Linked DNA regions of Coturnix japonica. The protein of the gene in region 2 purifies or fractionates together with the protein of the main gene of each other region. This does not show direct contact. Links are inferred from orthologs where the notes say so. Each region holds a gene or a part of one and is shown on either strand. Other genes may lie near its edges. The genes, in order: CCNK and CDK13.

Evidence for each region.
Region 1: the proteins of CDK13 (region 2) and CCNK purify together in Homo sapiens (affinity purification with mass spectrometry; 4 studies listed by BioGRID and IntAct, counting the BioPlex papers as one, with this or other methods). This does not show direct contact. The link is inferred for Coturnix japonica from reciprocal best matches to the Homo sapiens genes CDK13 and CCNK.

What each region holds. Positions count from the first base shown.
Region 1 is NC_029520.1:43,658,390-43,662,780, reverse strand, and holds the start of CCNK (cyclin-K), read right to left. Parts: upstream 2,837-4,391; 5' UTR 2,702-2,836; intron 1,623-2,701; exon of another isoform or gene 1,604-1,622; intron 1,415-1,603; 5' UTR 1,353-1,414; coding exon 1,156-1,352; intron 227-1,155; coding exon 145-226; intron 1-144. UniProt on the Homo sapiens protein: Regulatory subunit of cyclin-dependent kinases that mediates activation of target kinases.
Region 2 is NC_029517.1:76,677,300-76,681,114, forward strand, and holds part of CDK13 (cyclin-dependent kinase 13), read right to left. Parts: intron 2,717-3,815; coding exon 2,511-2,716; intron 1-2,510. UniProt on the Homo sapiens protein: Cyclin-dependent kinase which displays CTD kinase activity and is required for RNA splicing.

The DNA.
Region 1 (4,391 bases), on a different chromosome or scaffold from region 2:
TTGATAAGAGATAAAAAGTTAATATTTAATCATTTTATTCAGCAAGAGCTGTGCAAGGAGTAATGCCCTCGACTTGTAGTCATTTCAGAAAGCCTATCCTTCATGTAATCACAGTATTAGGTAATCAATATTGTAAATACTTACATATCTTGGGAACTGTTTGAAGGAATGAAACATATAAAACCGATGGAAATAAATTATTCCTGTTGCTAAAGTATCATAGTGTCTGTGGTGCAGGATAAGGAACTTCAAGAAAGTCACAGAACAAATGTAAAATCAAACACACCCAATGAAAAAGATACACTCTGATATATCAAATATCTCAAGGAACTGTCCACTCAGCGACTGGCTGAAAAACACTGCAATTAAAAGAGAAACAGAAGCCACACCCCCTTAGGATTGTGCAAATTCTATCCAGATGCAGCCGACACCTAAAGCATTTACTGGGAGTAAGAAAAGCCCATATCACATCTATGCGTGGTCATCTGCGTGATAAGCACCATCATCAAGAAGGTCAAAAGCAGAATTAGGCACAAACAGGAGTAAAAGTGTCGCTTTGTATCACACCTCATGAAACTGTTACTGCAGGAAATAGTTACTAAATATTCATACCTACAAACACAGCTGCAACATGAACGGGCTCCCTACTATTCTTTGCCAGAATAAATGCAAAATTATATCTTCAAGATCTATTAAACAAAGAACTCACGGGATTAAAAGAAGTAACAGGGATATAGCAAGCAAAAAGTTTGAGTGGTATCCATGAGTTGAGACAATGGGGAGAAATTACCAACATACATAAAGTTGTAGATTCCACCCTATAAGAAAAACAAAGTGGGGGGTGGTGGATCACAGGTTGGAATCTCCAAAGTTAAACAATATAGAAAAATAAACATAAAATTCAAAGTTTGAGAAATCATATAAGAGGCCATATCTGGTAACCGCCAGAATATCCATAATTGACAAAACTAAACTCTCTTGCTTCTCAGAAAACACCTTGATTACCCAACAAATGGCTAAAACTATCAAGTAACACTCAGAAAGATTTTTGATTCATGATAAAGAAACATTAGAACAACTAGCTACACATATTCTGCAATATTTAACTCTTAAAACCCCCGTTCATCAACACTTTATCAGGAGTTTAAAGGATACAGCCCTAAACGTGTTCCCACATCAAATATGAACCTGGCTCCCTCCCTGCGGTACCGTGCCTCGGTGGCTGGATCAAGCCCTTCAAGCTGTGAAGGTGTATGTGCCAAATCTTTCTTATCCCAGTACCAGCATGGCTTTGTATGGTCCAGATTTGCCAAGTTTACAGAAGGGCTGGAGTTTTCTTTATTCTCCTTCATTTATTAGAACTGATCTTGCTTGATATGGCTTCAAAAAAGTTTCCAGTTAGGAGCTTTGGAACCTTTAAGAAAAGCAAAAAGAACTTATGTTAAAATGAAGGGGAATCTTTTTTCCATGCTCACAGACAAGTAATATTTAACCACGTTTTCATCTTCCTGACATAATGCAAATACAATTCAAAGACTAGATTTATATATGATTACTTTTGCAATTCTTTGATAGAGAAACTTCAACGTTTTATCAAAAGCACCTGCTACTTTTCTGTAGAACAACTTTAATCCATTTTGTCCATAAAATAAGACTGAACAATTTAGTGATAGCAGCAGCAAGATTTGAACAGCTGAAAGAGGGAGATGAAATCAAATCACTCTTCATAAACCAGGACACATATGTTAGGTCAGCCTGAAAGGAATTTAAACACAGAATCACAGAATGACCCGGGTTGGAAGGGACCTCAAGGATCATGTAGTTCCAACCCCCCTGCCTGGCAGGGCCACCAAACATACACCTTTACTAGATCAGGTTGCCCAGGGCCCCGTCCAACCTGGTCTTGAACACCTCCAAGGACGGGGCATCCACAACCTCCCTGGGCAGCCTGTTCCAGGGTCTAACCACTCTCCTAGAGAAGAACTTCCCCCTAACATCCAACCTAAATCTTCCCTCTTTTAATTTAAAACCATTTCCCCGTGTCCTGCTATTGTCAGCACTTTACTGGGTCTCTTGGAAACACTACCAGAATGGCAACACTTGGATAAAACCTTTGTTAAATCATCTGCACTTGAGTTACTTAAGAAAAAAACAGTAGAGTAGAGATGCATGTTAAAAAGATCATGAAGATCAAGGCAACTGAGATAGGTCTGTCTGGTCAGGTGCCACCTACAATCACTGCACTCAAGGGCCTCCCCATCTCGCCGTGCTGACACAGCCCTGTGCCCGCTGTCACACACAGGCCAACAGCCGCTTACAGCTCTGTCCGGCTCCCCCCCTCATTTACGGCTCTGCAGCCGTTTCGGTTCCTCCCCACGGCGACTTTTAAGGAGCTTTTTAAAGAGCCGGGCCCGCTTCTGTCACAGCCACTTCCGCGTGCGGAGCCCCGCAGCCCCGACACCGCCTCTCCCCGCCCCCCCCCCGGCACACAGCGCCCCGGGGCCGCCCCCTCCGGACCCCGCCAGCCCCGAGGAGCCCTGGGGTCCCCGATCACGGCTCCCTCGCACTCCCCTCAGGGAGCGGCCTTCGCACCCGGCTCCGTGCCACCTCCCCCGCTCACACAGACACCCGGTGCCCCCGCTCCCCGCCTCAGGAGCGGGCCCCCACCCGTAGAAGGCCGCCCAGCTCCCCGCGCACTCACAGGCCTCGCGTGGGACAGCGGAGCGTTGTGGAGCGCCGGGCCTCTAACGACAGCGCGGCCCCCGCGCTCTGCGCGCCGCCATCTTGGGAAGCAGGTCGGTCCGCTCGCTGCGGCGTCACGTCAACGTCACCGGGACTCAGCGCGCCAGCCCCGAGCGGCGGCCAATGAGAAGCGGCGGAACCTTCCCGCAACCAATCCCGTCTGTTTCAGTGGCTGCTAAGCGCGAGGAGCAGTCTCCCCTCGCCTTAGAATGGACCAATCAAAGGGCTTAGAGGACAAGATTGCAAACCTCGCAAGCCAATGAGATGCCGAAGGAGTGAGCTCTCTCCCAGCCAATGCGGGAGCCGCCATGCCCTTTTTTAGTGCCTACAGGCGAGGCAGCGGATTGGCTGCCGAGCGTCCCGCTGGGGGCGGGGCTTGCCTTGTGGCCGTGCTTTGACCAATAGCAGCACGGGGGCGGGGCCGTGCGCTGGCCGTGCGGGGTTGGGCCTCACTCGCCCTCCGCCTCCCACCCGCGGGCAGCGGCGTCCGGCGGAGGGACGGGCTGGGTCCGGCGCCGCTCCCAGCAGCCGAGGCCGCGGCCGCTCCGTGCGGGAGGTAAGTGCAGGCGGTGCCGGGACCCCTCGGGCTTCGGCCTCCCGCACGGCGGGCTCGTTCCCGGAGCCCTTCCCTCCGCGGCCCTCCCCGCCGCCTCCCTTCCTGCGCTCCTCCGGCCCAGGCCTCGCCGCCCCCTCGCTTTCCTCCCTCCGCCGCGTTTCTCCCTCCGTTGTGATGAGGCTGTGCTGAGCCCGGTGCAACCTCTCTTTCCAGCCTGGCCCTCGGAGGCCGGAGCGGGACGCCCGGCTTGGAGCTGCTTTCCCCGTGATGTCATCCCTTCCCTTTCCATCACGCTGCCCGCTCCTTCCTTTCGCTCCCTCTGACCCTCCCGTTCACCAGCACTAAATCCGGGGCGGGGGGCCGTAGCGTTGGGTCAAACGTCAAATAACTTCTGAGTCCCCTTTAAGCTGTTTGCCTGCAAGCAAGTCGCTCTTTGGGCAGCTCGGTGCTGCTGAAACCCAACTTTGCACAGCTGTTCCTCATCCTCTTCCCGCCCATGCACTCATCGGGTTGCTTAAGTGAAGCTTGTGGTCTGCAGTTGTCTTTAGTTCTGAACAGCTTCCTCAATTTGCAATTGATTTGCTGCCCAAACACAGCACAGAGTTGTCAGAACAATCCCAGCTTTCGTTTTGGAAGCTGTTCTATGCAGCATAGAGTTTGGGCTGAGAAGCCTGGTACCTGCTCTTCTATGAACTTGATTTTGCTCATGAGTTGAAGCTGTGTGCAACTTCTGTCTCCCTTCTGAGAATGTGTAATATATATATATATGTAATATATAACCTGTCTCTTCAAATGATGCCTCATAAAATCACAAGGTTGAAAAGGACCTACAAGATCATCTAGTCCAACCGTCCTCCCTTTACCATACCTACAGAAAACCTCTAAACCATATCTTCTAGCTCTCTATCCAGATGCTTCTTGGATGCCTCTGTTCTATGGGTGTTAACAACGTTACTTTGACATCTCAACTCTTCTCCTTTCAGTTGTAAGCTTGTTTAAAAACCAAATAAAAAGTGTACTGAAACTCCTGTAGGTGAGTAAATGGCCGTACTGTTCTGAATGCCCCACATCTGGTTCATGGTATAAAATGTAC
Region 2 (3,815 bases):
GCATTTCCAGTCACATTCTGGCCTGTCTAATTCAGCATCTGGATTCTAACACCTGCTCCAGTGACCAGGCTGTAGGTGACCCAGAAGCTAGCAGTATCAGTGCAAGAAAGCAAATGCTGAGCTTGAAGGACAAGTCAATATCAATGAGTAGCAGGAAAATGTAGGTTGATAAGGTACACTTGTTTGTTTGTTTTATATAACTGTGTTTATTTGACACAAGTAAGAGGAGATTGATGAAGGGGAAGATAAGAAAGTTAGTCAGAATACAGAAGTATTTTCTGAATTTCAAGCAGTCACTGCGTCAGTTTATTTTGAAAGGAGAAGTGAAGCTACACGCCCCACAACTAGATGGATCTTAAGAAAGAAGGTGGAAATTAAAATGGATATGTTTTTCTCCAAGTCTGTTTAACCCAAGTCAACATGAGCATATTCTTCCTTCCTGTTAATACACTAAGACATTCATTTCTGGCAGATTCAAAGCCACACCTGAGAAAAACAGTCACACAAAAAATTAAGTAGTTGCCTTGCAAGACTAAGAAGAGCACAGCTGGAAAGTGCTGCAAAACTCACAGCCAATTAATTACCCTACTTGTGGATGTACACCAGGATGCAAACACTACTCTGGAAGGTTCTAAGGACTTTAAAGATTTTATATGTCTAAAAACAAAAATAAAACCATCCTTTATTTAACAGTAGATAAAAACTACTATTTTTAATGCCTCGTACTGCTGGACTTCACCCAGCTGTCACGCTGAACAGTATTTTGTGATATCTGAGGATGGTATGCTCAAGAAGATAACAAAGTACATTCAAATTTCTCTCAGTTTGTCAGTGTGCAAATTCAGCAGAAAGTACCCCCAAAAGGTAACTAACCTACCTGTTACATACTCTTTGGCTAGTTTCAAGTCCGTTCCAAGAACAAACTATACTCTGGGAAACCTATCAGTTTCTACCAGAACAAAATGAATGAGCTGTATGCAGTTCCTGTTAAATTATAAGATACAATAACCAGGGTTCTCAGTCATGAAGCATAACATCAGCAATTTATCTAGTTTTAACCTCTTTTTGGCACACACACAAAAAAAAAGCAACAGTTTTGTTTAAAGCATGCATTTTCCATTTGTACACTTAATCCTTTAGCATGCCTTATGGATGATTTTAACTAAGGTTTACCAGGATTTCAGGAAGAGCTGCACTTAATACAGAAAACACCTATATGCTGACCTGTCTAGGCTCCAATGAAAATTTCTTTTATACCTAGATATACTTTTCTACCCGATCATGTGCAAACAGTATTTTAGCTCTGAAAGGTTTCTTTCCCTTTTTTTTTTTTTTTAAATGTTTCGTTTTTATGTCTGATTAATACAGTAGGTCGGCAACATGCTAACTGCTACAGAAGCACAAGGAAAACTACTACTATCCACTGGGCTTTAAAACTCAGTTTTCATTTGTAGGGATAAAGTTGCAAGGGCTATAGAAAGACATCTTTGAAAATACAGCCAAAATATTAGTTCAGAGTGAGTGGCAGAAGCTCACAGCCAGCTTATCAGCTTGTAGTAAGAAACAGGATGAATAGGAACAAGAAGCAATAACCTGCAGTAAAAATACAATGAAAATATCAATATGTACATATTTAACGTTTATCTTTGCATAGTATATTTGGAGTTCTGCTCCATTGTTAAATGAAGAGTTGATTCAAGACAGCTAGTATTCAAGAACTACTATGCTCAGTGAACCATGTATTGATTTTCTGCAGATGAACATCTGTGTAAGTGTCATAGGATTTAAGGTCACTTTGCGCAATTAAAAATGGTCTAAACTAAACTTACCAGGTATGTATTCATTGCTGATCATCTCAACTGGTTTCCACATAAGGAGACCATTACTTTACTATTTATATTATTCTTCACTACATAAGCATCCAAGCAAGACATTTCAGTTAAGTTTCTGAATTACTGGCTGTGTAAGCTGCAGAGGTAGTTACTACTTTTTAATAAGTTATTTGGGTGGTTGGTTTGTTTTTGTTTGTTAGTTTATTGTTTCTTTTCTGAGTTGGTTTAGCGCAAACAGCTTGGAAACATGAAGGCTAAAGTGACATGCTGAGGTAATCTCTTCTATTTGAAGTCATGGCTGTTATAAAGTCTGCCTTCTTGCCAATTTTTCAGTACCAACATAGCTCCCCCAATCTATGAAGACTATGATGAACTTAGAGTATGAACAAACTAGTAGGATTACAGAAGATTTACTGGTGAGTATGGGATAAAACCTCCTCAAAAATACAAAGCAAGATAGTTGCTCTGGCTTGATTTAAAAAAATAAATAATGTGAATAAAAAGTAATGCCTAGTTCCCAAAAATAAAGGCAAATCTTTTGTAACAAAGATTTAACTTACAATAATGTTCCCTCCTTCAAGAATCCAGGAGACGTCAATACTCTGAAAATAACACCTAAAATTTCTAAAGGTGCAATCCAAGCAGAAAGTAATTTTAAGAACTGAAAATATTACTGACCAAGTGCTACACTAGAGTTGCCCTGAGTTTTGAGTTGGGAAGAAGTTTGCATGCCTTGTGGGGTGTTGGTTCTGCTCTCATCCATGCCTAGAGACAGATCCTTCCTAGGGACTTTAGTCACTGTTGCATCATCAGTCATGCCCATTTGCTTCTGTCTTCTGCGTTTTTTACTCCAGAGCTCATGGCAATCCTGCCACAAAGGAAGGCTGCAAAGAACAATTAGAGATCATCAGTTTTATACCAGATTTACAAAAAATGTTTTTTAACCACCATGGTAAAATACACATTCAAATTATGCATTACACAGCATTTGAAAAGATTAACCTGCTGGAATTTAGAAATACACTGGGAAACATCCAAAGCCAGATACGCTTTCCTGGGTAAAATCTCTTTTTCAGTTGCCTATTTCACAAATGCAGATCTTTCTCGCAAAGAACAGGAACGTGCATCTTACTATGAGAATGTCACTTTCTTGCTTGTATAAGCACCACATCCGTGCAGTTACATTTGTTCACAGTAACAGAGGTAGCTATCCAGTATTGGTAACTATACAGCATAGGCAACTAAAAAAGGGGAAAAAAAAATGTGGCAGGAATAAACAGTATTTAACACTAACAAATTTAGGTGGCTAGGAAGAACAAGGGATACCTCTAGTCCTTTAAGACAGATAAAAACAGGGGAAAAATATCTTCTACAGAACTCATCTGACATTAGTTCAGTCTTCTCATTATTATTCCTCCCTACAGGCATCCGAATTCGGATCTCTTGAGGAACACAGAATCCCATCCCATAGCTTATGGAAATACTGAGATATGGCATTAAAACAGGTCCTTCTGTTTTCCCTTTGCATATTAGTAGTAACTGTCTGAGCAGTTCTCTCACCCAGGAACGTGTAAAAAATGAGGTGACAGATGATAAGAATCACTGGAAAGGAAATTTTGACAGTTGCTTTCTACATTGTCTTCCTCCACAGAACAGCAGGTCAAAAGACCTGACAGGTATTTAGTCAACAACAGCTTGGATCAATCAAGAAACTATGAGAATTATCCTACTGTACTTGCAGTCAGCACTGAGCATGGTTCTTCCAAGTGAGCAACTTTATTCTTTCTTGAGAAGTCATCATTTTCATTTCACTATGACAAATGTTGGTGTCAGTTTTTAAAGGGATACCAAAGGACAGTTTCTTTGTTTGTTTTTAATTTTTCTACATCAGTTTCTAGAATAGATGAACTATCAAGGCCCTGAAAAGAAGAAAACAATTTCTTCCTATTCATTTAATTCAAAACGCGTTAGCAGTAAGGTTCT